Alligator mississippiensis: one gene and its partner. The protein of the gene in region 1 purifies or fractionates together with the protein of each later gene. This does not show direct contact. Links are inferred from orthologs where the notes say so. Each region holds a gene or a part of one and is shown on either strand. Other genes may lie near its edges.

Region 1 (7,476 bases):
GAAATAAAAGTTGAAACAAAGAAATACTAAAAATCAATTACTTTTCTCCATTTACATTGTACATTTGTTTTGTTCTTTATTCATTTTGCTTGCTCCAAAGAAAGAACCAAGTCAGTTTTCAAAATCTCATGCAAGTACATATACAACCAAAAGTTTGTAATTTTTTAAAAATAGTGAGCATGAGGATGCCTTTCTTCCCTCCAAGGCCTAACATTCCTGACACTATCCCAAAAGAAAAATATGAAGGAGACATGCTAAGCGCACTAGAAAGGCAAAGCTCATCTCAGTGACAGCTGACTAAAAAGTAGCAAGTTTCCTAAAATGAAGCCAAGACAGACCTCCCATCCCCCACTTCAAAAAAAGAAAGTACTTCTTTGGCAGCAGGTGAAAACATGATTCATATCAAGTAGCACTCACAGACCCTGCATAGGACTTAGCCCCATTTGTAAAGCTGCTACAGAAATAAAGTGAAAGACAAAGATCTTGAAACACTTGTCCCTCAAGAAGAAAGCAATGTACAGTGACCCAAATGAGTGGTAATTAGCACAGAGTGTACAGGTTCTTCTCTGGATGACTGACAGTCATATCATCAAAAAATTAAGATTAACTACTTCAAGACAACATTGTACATTCCCCCTCTCCACAATCACCAAGAGAACTGGCAAGCTCCAGTGACAGCACCTGCCCTGGGGGCAGGCCATGGACACCTTTGTCCACCACCCAGATGCAGCAGTATCTTCAGCCTGTCCCTTCTGCAAAGAGGAAACGGAGGAGACTGCTCCATGCTTTCCTGGCCTGCACATGGCTGTGGCCACTCTTTGCTGCCCTCTTTGGTGCACTGGATTTGGCCTTCTCCCAGACTCTACATTTCCTCTATTCTGTACCAAGCAGCTGAAGGGATCATGCTCTGCCTGGCCAATTTCCTGCTGGGCCAGGCCAAGATGGAGAGCCTGAATAGCCACAGAAGCCAGCTCTGACAGCACCCTCCAACTGTTCCACTCCTTGGTTCAGGAGCGCATCACATTTGAATCTGGACACATCACCTTGCAACAAAATGTGGACTAGTTTATGTCTCACTGGGCTATTGAGGGGGCACTCAGGAAGACGGATGGCTAGTCATACATGTGTAACCCCATGAAGGCTATTGGGAAAAGGGTATCTTAATCTCTGGCAATATGAATGTTTTCATTACTGACAAGTGTTTCATGCTTGGACCCTGGGAGGGTCAACACACACTTTTGCACTTTCACCTTCTGTTTTTAATACTTATAACAGAGCTTTAAAAAAAAAAAAAAAATCAAAAGTCTCTCTCTCTCATAAAGCACCAAACAGCAATAAAAGGGGGTCCCATTCTCTCCTTTCAGATAGATTTCTAAAGTTTATTTTTAGTGTCCCAAGAAATGGGATTTAAAGACATTAGACAAGTCCTGAAGTTATGTGATCTTGCTGGCAAGGAGACATCCCTCAAAACTTGGGAGCGTCAGAGCTACTGGCGGGTTTGGAAGTTCTCTGTCCAAAGCCATTTCCTAACTTCCTGCCACAGGAATGGCACTTCACACCTTTTCTGTGGCAGTTAGTCTGCTATGAAAGGAAAGGTTATTATGAAGCAAATGTCCAGGTCTAGCAAGGTTTACTCTGCCTCCAGGCAGTGAATATTTTCTGCTGAGTGAAGACCAATTATATTCCAAGGAAAACCTCAGCACTTATGCAAATTAAGCGCCCAACTAGAGCAGTAGTACTTCTTTACAAAATTAAGCAAGCATTAATCCCAAGACACCATTTAGTTTTGGTGTTATTTCCACTGTGCCAAGTAACTGCTGCTGTTTTAATCACTTCCCCATATGGACAGTGCAACACAATGACAAAACCAGCCAAACTCCCATTAACTAAGTTGGCTCAAGGCGCACCTCAGAAAACGCCAGTTTAGTCTTCACTTGGTTTTTTGCTCGATTATGGGAAAATAACACAGCTGTCCTTCTGTTGCAGAAATCTCAGGCCACAGCAGGGCTGGATTTTAGCTTTTTGCGCTACAGCTTCTGATTTGAAATCATTAGATGTACCTTGGGAACCACGTCTGTGCAGCTAACGGGTGCCAGCAATATGTGGCACCTCTGGAAGGATCTCCAGGCCCCCGGGGAAGGGGGGTGGGAGGAGGCTGCCACCTGCCAACGAGGGCGAAAAATCCCATCCCGCGGTTCTGCTGGTCCCACAGAAGACTCCCACAGGACACTCTCCTCTCACAATGGGGGACCCTTCCCACAGGCGCCCCACTGCCCCGCCTGGAGCCCACAGACCTTCCGTTTTATTATTCCTCTCTCGGTGGCCTCCCTCTTGAAGACAGGCTTATAGTTTTTTTTCTTGGGGGGCCCACGTTCCCTGAAGACTAACAAACAGGCCTGGAAGGCACCTCAGAGCACTTGTGCACCATGCCCCCCTCCAGCTGCCAAGACCCTGCACGGCCCTGCAAAGGTGCCCTCCCCCCTTCCCAAACTAAGAACTATCCCTGCACCACCCAGGCTGCCCCCTGGCGCCGAACGCCCCTGCGCACCCCGCCCCCCCGCACCAGTTGCCAGGCAACAGCCGTTTCGCCGCGGGGAGGGGGCAGGTGCTCCGAACACTGCCCCCGTCCCCCCGGGCGCGCGAGGCCATAACCGCCCCCAACGGGCCGCGGCGGCGCCCGAGGAGGGGGAGGGGCGGAGGGAGCGGGCAGGCCCGCCATCCCCACCCCCCGCAGTGCCAGCACCGGGCCCGGGCCCGGGCCCACCCGCGGGCCCACAGGGGAGGGAGGCCGCGGCCGTTACCGTGTGGGCAGGCGGCGGGCGGGTGGGTGTCGGCGGCGCGCGGGCCGGTTGCTACGCGCCGCCCCGCCCCTCGCGCCCTTTGTTGTTCCGGGTCCTGGGCCGCGTCGCGGCCACAATCAACATGGCACAAGGCTGGAAGAAGAGGGAGAGCGGCGATCATAGAGGCGCGGCGCCGGCTAGACCGCCCGCCGGAAGAGCCACCGTTCTTCCAGCCCCGCGAGGAGGGGGGTTGTCACGCACTTCCGGCGCCCTAGGCTCCGAGCCGGCAGCTCGCAAGCGTGACGCGAGACGCTGCTGGGGGGTGGGGCGGAGCTTGCGGCCACCGGCTCTAAGCCCCGCCCTCCGCGGGGCTCCCGGGCGGTGGGCGTGTTGCAGCCCAGTCTTTCCGTGCGTGTGTTGCCTGGTGCGGGCTCGGCGCCCACTCACTCCTTAAGGCCTCTGGTACACTTTGGGCATATGTGTCATGTCACGGAGTGGTTAAAAGCACAATAAATGGGGACGAGCCCCTGCAGAGTGGTCGTGGCACCATAAGAATGGCTGTCCAGCTACAAAAAATCGCCAGGCCGTCAGAAGGCGCCTGCATGAAAATCACCTAGAGCAGCGGCGGGCGATGATTTGGGCCGCAGGGCAGTTTTGATAAGCTGTTGCAGGCGGTGTCGGCATCCTTCTACCTTCCCACCTCAGAAAGCTCACCAACAGTCCCCATGGGGCTGGGGCGGGCAGGGAACAAGTGTTTGGGGGGTAATGCAGGGCTAGGTCATGGGGTGGCGATTGCTGTGGGCTGGGCCCTAAATGTCCCTGCCCTGGGGGGGCCTGGGAGCCTGCAGGGGGTGAAAGGGGGCAATGGGAACCTGAGGCAGTGGGATCCATGGCTACCCTATGGTTCTACACAGGGTTAAGTCCTGCCCACTTGTGCCAGGGCAACCCTTGCTGCACTCCTGTTGGTGTCTCCTAGGATGGAGAAGCCACAAGATGTGTAACAACTCTAGCCAGTTTCTATCCAACTTTCATTTGAATATGGATCTGGGCCCTTAGAAAATGCACCCTCTCTCCCCCTTATCCAAAGGTGAGAGAGGCAAGGATGCATTTGTGATACCTGTATTGTTTTGCATACAACACCCTCTCCCAAAACCCAGCTCTTGGAAATTGTGTGGGTGTCATAAATAAGGAAATACAGTAACAGCAGTTCTGCCTTGGGGAAGGCAGAGAGGAATGAATGCCACCATGTTTGTGCTGGGGAGGGAGCAGGGGCAGGATGGTTAACACAGTACTGCTGGCTGTGGGCATGATCTCTTCCCCATTCTCGGTGAAGACTCCTGCTGCAGAAGCTGCTGCTCAGTTACATGGCTTATCAGTACTTTTAAGAAGAGATCTTCTTTCCCCTTCATTCTGCCTTTCAAAAAACAAGGTGTCTCTCATTTGGGAGCATGTTGTATGTGATAGAATATGGTATCTTTTATTGGCCCAGCTGAGAGAGAAGTCACTCAAGCTTTTGGGCACAGGGCAACTGTGCAGTTGGTCTAATAAAAGATACCACCATAGAACCTTGCTTAGTGTCATAGGCGATGTGTGTGTTGGGGGGGGCACAGGGAGGCACGTGCCCCCCCCCGAGAGTGGCCGCTGCTAAAGCCACTGCTGGCTTCTGCAGGTGGTCGCCGCCACCCCTTGCTACTGATGCAGCCAACAGTATGGACGGCAGCTATGGGTGGTCCCTGCTCACTGCCTGCTGCTTGCCCCCCACCCCTGTGCTCGCCACTGACATTGCTGCGGCTGCCTGCTGGCAGCCTCCGCTCGGCCCACCCCCACAGTCGACACCACCACTGCCGCCTACAGGTGGTCGCCATGCCACCCCAGCCTCCAGGGGCACATGTTGTTCATGCTTAGTGTCACCTGCAGCCAGACTTAGGCTGCTCTAGTGTGACAGCAGTGTTGTGAAGGCACTGGTGACAAGAGTGAGGGCCTTGGGCTTCCATCTCAAAAGCCTCAAGAGATTAATATTCACTTGCTGATGTGCCACTCTAAAATGTAATTTAGACTCAAATTATAGCAGGAACAGCAGATTCACAGGAATAAGGTGGGGATATTCTGAATACTGTAGTAAGTGGTTATTAACATTTTTAGGCCCAGGACACCCTTCATTAGACTCACAGAACCTCTCAGAAAGTACCAGCTCTTAGTTTTCACTTATTTTTTGATGACGGAAAAGTAATACAGCAATGTTTCTATTGCAAAGAACTCAGAAAGACTGCAAGAGGTCAGAATTTTTTAACACTGTGGATTCTTAACTGAAATTTCTGGGTTTAATTTATGAAACATGTTTGTGCACCTTAAAGTGCTAGCATGATGTTGCATACTGCAGCAGCCCTGAAAGGCACCCTAGGATGCCATGGTACCTTGGTTGAGTATCATTGCTGTTGTACTTAGGAAATTTGGAGCTCAAGGTTCCTAGGCTTTTACTCTAAGTTTTGCAATGGACTTGGAATGTCCTCTGGAAAACTTCCTGCTCTTTAATTTACCCTCCTGTGAGAATAAATAGACCAACAATGTGTAGTGAAGCTTTGGACTTTAATTTTTTGAGCTTAGAACCTTTGCAAGATAGTATGATTTATTTGAGGTTTCCTGAAACTTTAGTTGTATAATTCTGTGCTTGCCACCTAAGAAATGATACAGAAGCAGCACTGATTGTTTACAACAAAGGAAACAGATTTACATTTGTCGTGCTGAAACTCTAGAAAAAATTGTGTTTTCTATTTTTACTTTAGTTCTTAACCTCTAGAATATATTTTATTATATTAAAACAATTTCATGGTGTCAGGAATAGTTTTTCCAGATCCCCATTTCTAATCTTTTATCTAGACTGGGAGAATGTTAATTAAAATATTACTTATTATAGTGATTATTAGCTTTTGCTTGCATTGATGATCATGCATAGTACTGCCACCATGTGGCTAGTAGCATGAATAGAACTTTTATTTCACTTAACTAAAGACAAAGAAGCGTTTGAAAACAAAATTTGTTATCTTGCGGTTCAGTGACACCCTAGAGAATCTCTCACAGTTCTCTGGGATCTCTCATGAGGCTGGTGTCTTTTTCCTTATTGATGGTCATCTTCTGTGTTGCCTTTAGGTGTTACAAATAAGCCTTCAGTTACTACACTGATTTCTATTGCACCTTCTGTGAAATTCAGTGATTCATTCGAGGTGCTATATATACCACAACAAATATTGCTGAGTTTCAACTAAGGAGGACAAATCACCCATCTGTAAATTGCATGGCTGTCCAGTCATGTTAATTAGAAAGGGCAATAAACTCTGGTTTAGCTAAACTTTGACTTTGCTGTCCAGACCTCTGAATTTTAGCATGTTCTTCTCAATGTTTTTCTGTGACAAAAAAAAGGCTGTCAAAAATTACTCATCTTCTACAAAGCTGCTGTTATGTTTTCAGGTTTCTCACCCTGTCTTATTTTTTGTTATAAGTTTCATGTAAGGGTGGAGTCATGACCTTGGTGTTTCAAAACCATTTTTTATGATAAATGAAAATTATTCCCCACCTTATTTTGAGGTCCCAACTACCTCGTTTGTCAATGGCTCCTTAATTGTACTAGTATATTTTCAAGAGAGCCTCTAATTGTGCAGTGGTAAGGAGGCTCAGGCCCATGCATCTATAATCATTGTATTTACCAATAGGCAACTGTATCTGCAAACAATAAGGATTAGTGTGCAACCAATATTTGCGCATGTAACTTGCACATTAGTCATATAAGCACACTGGTTTACATGTGCATGTAAGTACAGCATTATTTAGACATATGGCATCTGTACATGTGACAGAGCTCTGGTCCGATGCATGCTAATTAGTACACATTGGTGCAGACTCGATTAATCAAGTTTACTGGAGCATGCTAATTAGCGTGCTCCAGCAGTCTCTACATCACGCTGGCGGTGGGGGGCACTTTAACTAAAGTTCATCAAATGAGCTTTAGTTAAAGCAGCCCACTGCCAGTTTGAAGCACAGGATGCTGAATACACGTGACGCTGCAGGTGTTTTAATTAGAGTGGCTCTGACGGCGCCCCCCCCCCCCCTTACCCCAGAGCACGTGTACAGACTCCCTTTGATGCTTAGCCAAACACAGTAAGGCTTTTTTTCCTGCCCTTTGGCTGAAATCTTCCTTTTTCCCCTCAACATCACCTCTGATTAATTGCTCTACCTGCAAGGCTTTGTGGTTGCTTTTTTCACCTATATACCTGTACTACAAAGACTCTCCACTGGAATGCTGTGGCACTTAGAGTGCCTTTTGAGGTTCCCTGGGGTGCCATATAATATTAACACTGTTAACAAGTGAGCCAACATGATTCACAAGATAAACCTAGATATTTCAAATAGAAATCCATGGTGCTAAAAATGTTCTTACCTATTTTGGTCTTACTGGGTGTATCTATACCAGATGTTTACTGTAGAGCTGCCTAATTGGTTTTGCAGTAAAATGTCACTGTTTACATGCACGGTACTATTAGGACACAGCAAACTAATTAACTCTGCCATAGGTTAGTACTTGTAAACACAAGTACTATCCTACAGTGCAACACACATGTAGACCTACCAGCTAGCCCTACACTGAAGCACCCTCATGCCTCAGCCAGCCCCTCTGCAGCATGTTGAGCCAGGCCAGAGCAGC
Region 2 (7,398 bases), on another chromosome or scaffold:
GGCACCCTGGTTGAGAGCCACTGTTCTAATAAAACAAGAACAAAGGTTCCTTTGTAAAGTGAATATACTGAATTGCAAGCTGAAAGCTAACAAGCTACATAGTATATACATATGAACTAGTTCCGGAGCAAAGGAGCCATTGATATTTTTATTTCATAACTGAGGCTGTAGTAATTTAAAGCTAACCAAAAATACTACCCTGTTTGGGTCTGGTCACTAAAGGTACTACTCACATGCCTCAAATTAAATGTGTGCATAATCATTTGCAGGCCTGGGGTCCAAATTATCTGATTTAAAATGAGTAGCTAGTCTTATCAAAGAATGCAAGTTCTTCAGAAATTAAAGTATTAGGTGAATTAATTACATGATTACAAAAGTTGCATTTTAACACCACTGCTCTATCATGTTTGATCTGTTTATGATGAGAAGTTTTTTTTCTTTATGAAGAGTCAGCTATTACTTTTCCCTTCTGTATTAATCACAAGCTGCCCAGTACATGTGTTCTTAAATATGCAGGTTATTCAGAAAGAATGGTATGGGCTGTTTATGTTGTACATAAGGGGAAAGTCACTATCCCCTTTAACTGTCCTCTCCAAGGACAGCAATGACTTGTTGAACAGTTGTGGGAGAAGTTAAAACACATCACAAGATGCTGTTTTCCAATACCATTTAGCCTATGCAAATCCAAAGAACAGGGTATAAAGGATAGCTTCAATGTATAATCTTTACAAAGAAGCAAAGCAGGCAAACTTAATTTGTGTCCCTCACTCCATGTAAAAATTAGCAAGTATAATACCAACAGGTTATTCAAACTTCAGTTTAGGTATACCAAGCCCCCAGATTTAAGTGACAAACATTCCTTCCATATACTCCTTGCTCGCTTTGAAGCCAATTTTGAGAGAAGTATTATTGAACAGACCTGAACCAGGTTTTCCTATTTGATCATGAAAATTCAGTAGAAAGAGTTCTAGTCAAAAAGTAATAGAAATGTAACTTCTGAAATCTGTTCCCTCCCCACAGTTCTTTCCCTCTCCATTTCAAATACTGTAAGTAAAGACCATCTGTTCCTCTCTCTCATCCTCTTCTCTGCACGTACATTAGGCCTAATTCTAGCTATTAATGGCACAAGCATTCTCAAGAGATGCACTGAACTGCACAAGCTGACTAGTATGTATAAAACTGGTTTTAAGGACCAAATGAGTGCAAACCGTTTTTTCCCTCTGAATTTAACACCTTTTTTCCAAGACTGTTTTTGCATAGCAGTTTGCCAAAGCAACCAGCCACACCAGGGCAGTTCCATTATTACTACTGCTACAGGAATAATTACACATTAACTTCTAGATTGTGAAGTCACACACCATCTGACAAAGCTTCAGGGAAATCAAGGCAATAAAGAAAAACTCTCTACAGAAATTTACAAGACGCCAGTTAAAATTATCATGGTTTCACCCATTCTGAATGAATAAAGTACTTGCCTTGTAAAAGGTACATCAATAGCGAACCTAAGCTGTTCATAAGTGAATGTATCACAGTCAAATTAGATCTGCAGGTGTTTGGCAAGCTCTGTTCCAAGCACTGACTATAGCTTGTCTGTCTTGATCTAATGAGACTTACAATTTTCTTATTTCCTTATTTGTGCATGGTTATATAACCATATATTTATACAAAACGTTTGTTAACTGGTGCTCCCTCTGCTGAGCATAGAAAAAACTGACCATCTCTCCCTCCCTCTGCACTTACAGCAGTTCATTTGAATATGGTGTGCTACATGAGCTCAAATATTTCAGAATCCAAAGAATGCACACCAAGTCATTTTAAGTACTGCAAGCCATTTTGAGATTACATTTCTTAAATTCCTTTTTTTTTAAAAGGATACCCCCCAAAAAAAATCTGTATGCAGCTACTCTTACAAACAACCCCTCAGATTCCTGTAACTGAAAGACATAGTTGTATTGATTTTGTGCATCTGACTGCAAGCCAACTAGTTTTCAAGCTATCCTACCTCCTTTAAAACAAACTGGCTATAACAACTTGCTACAGAGTCCTTGCTTATTTATGCAAGCCAAAAATGAAAATACATCATTTGGCTCATAACGAGCAAGAAAACTGACTGATGATGATTTAACGACACCAAAGCATTAAGAGGCTTTTTGAAGTAATTTAGAACAGAAGTCCAGCTTATGAACTGGCTATGTTCTTTAACTTGGTTTTGTTCAAAATATCATTATGATGTTAAAAGGTGCAGCTCTATTATTGGCTATAGATCTGCACTCTAAAAGATAACATTACCGACTGAATAACCATCACCAACAAACCACCTCTCAGCTGAAAAACGAAACCGAGCCATTCACCTCCCACCAACCGGCAGGGTGACCTGAATCACACATTACGGAGCTTTATTTTCTAACAGGACTTTTCTTAGGATAGACCTGTACCAAGCGATGGAGACAGCTGCCCAGCTTTGCACAGCAGAGAAATCAAGTGTTACTGGGGCTTTGCAACAAAGTTATTTGCAAATCCTTCAGAGTGAAGGCCTTTTCTCTTAGATCTTTACAAACCTGCTCTACAACAGAAGAGAAAATACAGGCATACTACCTTCATTTTTGTTTTCCTTATATTTATTCATGGGATCCTACTTGGTGCTCTTAAGATTTAGCTGATATTTTACACCCTGACTGAATGCATTTACTGGACTGATCACCTTCTCAGATCAGTGTGCGTGTGTGGGGGGGGGGGGGGGGGCATGCAGAGGAGGCAGAGAGAAAGAAATAGATATAACACCAAATAACAGCTTTACCATTCTAGAAACACCAATGCCCTAAAAAGCTAACCCGCTCCGTGGGATTTAGAACGCCAAACAATCCAGGTCTCCCTCCTTTCCCCGCCTCTAGCGCTGCTGCTGCGAGCAGGGCACGAACCGCTGCTATCATGGAAGGCAGAAGAGCTGGGAAAAGAGTCTCAAGCGCTTCGCCTTTTCCCAGGCAGCAGTCAAATACCTGCAGCCGCGCCACCACCTCCCCCCGCAGGAGCCTTCCCCTGCCGCCTGCCCCAGCAGCTCCATCCCCCCTGCAACAAAGACCCTCCGACCGCGCTGCCTCTGCCTCGGCCTCGCTCCCGCTCCAGGGGGAAGCCCGTAGCGGCCTGGCCACGCGGCGGGAGAGAAAACCCCGCCGCCGAGAGCGGAGCGGAGCGGGGCCGCTCGGGCAGCGGCGAGTGACAAAGAGCCGGAGCCGGAGCCGGCGCCTCCCCCGGCCGCTGTGGGCTGCGCGCAGCTCCCCGCCCGCCCGCCGCTCTCGGCGGCGCTCTCTCTCTCCCTATTTAAAGGCTGCCGCGGTGTTTAAATGGAGAGGCGGTGACGTGGGGCTGGAAAGCACCTTCCCATCCTGGCAGAGTCTATATTAGAGAGCGGCAATAGCTCTATATAACCCGGGCCGCCGCAGGGAGGAGGAACACAAGGCGGGGGAGCAGCCAGGCCGGCGGGAGCCATGATGGATCGGCCGAGACGGGCGCAAACAAGGGGCCGCGGCCGGGGCCGGGCCGGAGCGGTGCGTTGGGGCAGGGGGCGCGGGGCCGGGGGTGTGTGACTGCTTGTTGCAAACCGACGGGCGCTCCCAAGCAGCCGCCGCCCACGGGAAGCCGACTGGGGCCGGGGCCGGGCCGGGCGGGCTCGTGGGGCGGCGGGCGGGAGAGGGAGAAGGAGGAGGACGAGAAGAAGGCCCCGAGCCCGCCACCCGCCCCGGCCCGGCCCCCCCGGTGCTTACCACGGGGTTTGTGTTGGCCGCGCTCGCCATGTCCCGCGCCCCCCGGGCGCCCCCACCGCGGCCGCGGTCGCCCCCGTGAAGCGAGAGACGTGCCCGGCGCCGGTGCCGCCCCCTTAATGCCCAGCACAGCCCTGGCTCCCGGGCGGCGCCGCGGCCTAGCCTGGCCCGGCCTCTACTCCCGGCCCCGGGCTGCAGCCGCCGCCGCCAGCCGCCGCTCTGCCCGCTTTGCCCCTTTATATAGCGAGAGCCGAGCAGCTGCGCGAGCGGCCGGGGAGCGCGGGGGCGCGGGAGGGGGGCAGCTCTCGCGAGAGCTGGCGCCGGAGCACGGCCCCCGCGCGGTCACGTGCGAGGGAGGGAAACGGGCGGCGCGGCCGCCATGACACCTAGAGAGGCGGAAGTGCGCGGTGCGGGGCGCCTCGGTGGATATGTCCGCTGGGGGCTGAGCGCGGCTGGGCTGGCGCGCGCGACTGGTGACGCGTCTGATCGCGTCAACGCGGCGGCGACTTAGCGTTCCACGACGGCGCCGGGCAATGTAGCGCCCGGCCGTATTGAGCCTAGTAGGGGCTCACCCCGTGGCCCTTTGACTGGATTGCTTTCAGTAGTCACCCGGCTGATTCCCGCAGGGTCCTGCCCAATCCGGGAGGGTTGGCAACCCCAGCTGCGGAGGAGCTGCACTGTTACATGCATGCAGTCCTGGGGTGCCTGCCCTTAGGCCCCAGGGCTGCAGCAGGGAAGCAGGGGAAGAGGCTCCCCCCTGGAGGCCAGCAGGGCCCAGGCAGAGGGAAGATCCCAGCAGTTAGTGGGGGACTTGGGTTCACAAAACTACATGGCAAAGAGAAAATCAGTGGGGAGTCATTATTGGCTCTCACAAGACAAGAACAAGCGACCACAACTTGAAGCTGGCAGGAAGAGCCCTGGTCGAGGTAATCGTACATCCCCTTTTTGCTAGGACAGTCCCCTATTTGAGCCCTATCCCAGGTGTCCCCACTTTTTTTTAATTGGCTATTTGTCCCGTTTTCTTTTGCCAGCTGAAGTATTGCATATTCAGTAAAGCATTTTTCACATGGCATTACATATAAAAGAGATGTAATTGCATTTTTTTCCTTCCCTCCATTTCACAATAACATCCCAACATTTTACCACTTGGTTTGATTTACAATAGGTGATGGCAGCGCACGGCGGCAGCTCTGGGATCTACCCACATGAGGTGCACATACAATGCATGGTCAGCTGCAACACATGAGGTTACAGAAGTTATCAGTAGTGTTTGCTATAAAATGTCACAAACATGTCTGTTCCTGTAAGGAGGACCTACAAAATCAGCCAAGTTGTATGACAGACTTGTGGAGAAAGCAATCTGGGTTCATGGTAGAGGTGATACATTTTATTAGACCAACAAGATTTTTTCAAAAAAAATTCTTTAATTGCAAGACTTGTGGCAGCTGCTGTGACATTACTCAGCACCTTCAAACAAAAAAACAGGCCAAAAGTACTAAGTATGCAACTCCAAGCATTTCAGATTTTTTTTTTTTTATTTTTGTTAAGCAAAACAAAAAATGTGATTGGCTTTTTGTTAGTCACATTTTTGCCAGTGAGGGACTGTTTGCTTACCACTCTGTGTCATGGACACCTTTTTGGGTCAAGTGACTACATCACATTAAGAAACTCTACCAACCTAAGTTTTCATCTGCTCACACAAAATCCAAGGCAATAATTTGCAATGTATTAGCTCTTTTATCAACAGAAGAAGTGCATCGTGATTTGGAGAAGTGCTCATTTATTATGCTTAATGTGGATGCATCGAACAAAAAGGAGCAAAAGCTGTTTCCTGTTCTCGTATGCTTTTTTCTTCCAATTAGGGGAGTCAACACAAAAATAATAATTGAGTTTTCTACTGGGTGAAACATCTGATGTGCAGCGGGCATTTCTCTAGCAAGTGATTGAGAAGTACTCTCTTGGTGCAAAGCTCGTTGGAATTTGTGCAGACAATACCAACACTAACTTTGGTGGTGCCAGACATCCTGGAAAAAACAATTTGTGGCAAAAACTCCAAGCCAAACTAAGAGTTGAAGAGCTGAAAGACTTCTGCCAATTTGTCAGTCTTGAGTATTTTAAATGACTACAGCACAGCAGCACACAAATCTTGTCACTGGGACCAGTGCTGGATAGAATTTTGTTGATTTTCTATGGGCTTAAAGCATGTTTCCTTTCTCAAGAGAAATGGCTGACACTGTTAAAAGAAGTCTTCAATGACCCTAGCACTAAATTGTAGCTTGCCTTTGCCAGTAAACAAACAGCCATGTTTCAGAAGAACATAGAGGCAATTAAGAAAAATGATGTGTCAGTGACAGAAGTTGCTTTGCAGATACATTCCCTGTGGGATAACTTAGCAGAGAGACTTAGACAACAATTTGTCCCAACAAAAGCAAAGAGCCTACTGCAGTCTCTTGTAGATTGTCAGCAAATGAAGGAAGAAGAATTTTACAATGCAGAATTTTACAATGCCTGTCTTACTTGGAGTACTGGAAACCTGCTTTTGAGCGTGCCAAAAAGCTTGAGTGGGCCCTGTCAAGCAATATGCCAGTGTGGGATGAAATATAAGACAGCTTCGCTACATGCCACACTAGAATTCCTACCTTAAGTATGTTGGATGAGAATTGCCCTTTTAAGTGAGCCAGTGCAAAATCAATCATCTCATCATCTTTCTGACTGCAACCATCAGTGAATTCCCATTGCTGAAAGGTGGCTGTGCATTTTTCAAGAGATGGACAGCAAGATAGTACAATATGCAGATCTAGCTAAGGCTGTGGAATTCGTGTTGCGTTTCCTGGGCACAACCGCCCCCCGTTCAATGTGTGTTTTCTAGAATGAACAATGTGTGGTCTCCTGAAAAATCACATCTGCATGTCTCTACCATGAAGGCTATGTGAATTAATTTTGATCTGGATTGTACTGTGTTCTGTGACAAGCTGCTGAAAGACAAGCAGGCCCTCTAAAAGATAGCATCATCAGAGAAATAAAGGTGGCAACAAGCAACTTCACACCCTGAAGGACAGCAAGACAAGGAAAACATCAGTAACCACTTTATTGTAAGTGCATACTTTCACTGTTTATGCTGTTTGTAAGGGGGAAGCTACTGTATTGGCTAACTTATGAAGTCAAATCCATTCAGTCTCTTTAAAGTCATATTAAGAGCATGTCACTATATTGTGTATTTTTCTTATATGTTTTTGCATATGTAATTGAACTCCCCTGAACACTAGTAAAATCTCACCCAGGTGTTCTGGTTTCAACATGGGGAAGTATAGTCATGCAAGTCATAGTCATGGAGAAGTAGGGCTGGAAGGGACCTCCAGAGGTCATCTACTTCAACTGCCCTGCCTGAGGCAGGATCATGGTTTTCTATCACATCCCATACAAGCCATCATCTAAACTCTATATAAAGCTGCTGTCAGCCCTGACACAACATAGACCTAGCACTCTAACCTGCCACACATAAAGCAGTTGAAGCATTGCAGCCACTGTCCTGCTTCTATGAAATGTTGTATATACACTCAGGATGTCCCAGGTAGAGGGCTATGCCCCCTACTTTGGAGGAAGGCAAAAATCCCCACAGTTCATACTAATCCCAAGTACA

The links. The genes of interacting proteins can lie anywhere in the genome.
Region 2: the proteins of TBPL1 (region 1) and GTF2A1 purify together in Homo sapiens (affinity purification with mass spectrometry; 5 studies listed by BioGRID and IntAct, counting the BioPlex papers as one, with this or other methods). This does not show direct contact. The link is inferred for Alligator mississippiensis from reciprocal best matches to the Homo sapiens genes TBPL1 and GTF2A1.

What each region holds. Positions count from the first base shown.
Region 1 is NC_081824.1:116,440,653-116,448,128, reverse strand, and holds the start of TBPL1 (TATA box-binding protein-like 1), read right to left. Parts: upstream 3,013-7,476; 5' UTR 2,802-3,012; intron 1-2,801. UniProt on the Homo sapiens protein: Part of a specialized transcription system that mediates the transcription of most ribosomal proteins through the 5'-TCT-3' motif which is a core promoter element at these genes. Seems to also mediate the transcription of NF1. Does not bind the TATA box.
Region 2 is NC_081825.1:266,198,159-266,205,556, forward strand, and holds the start of GTF2A1 (transcription initiation factor IIA subunit 1), read right to left. Parts: upstream 3,011-7,398; 5' UTR 2,931-3,010; coding exon 2,832-2,930; intron 2,821-2,831; exon of another isoform or gene 2,801-2,820; coding exon of another isoform or gene 2,798-2,800; intron 1-2,797. UniProt on the Homo sapiens protein: TFIIA is a component of the transcription machinery of RNA polymerase II and plays an important role in transcriptional activation. TFIIA in a complex with TBP mediates transcriptional activity.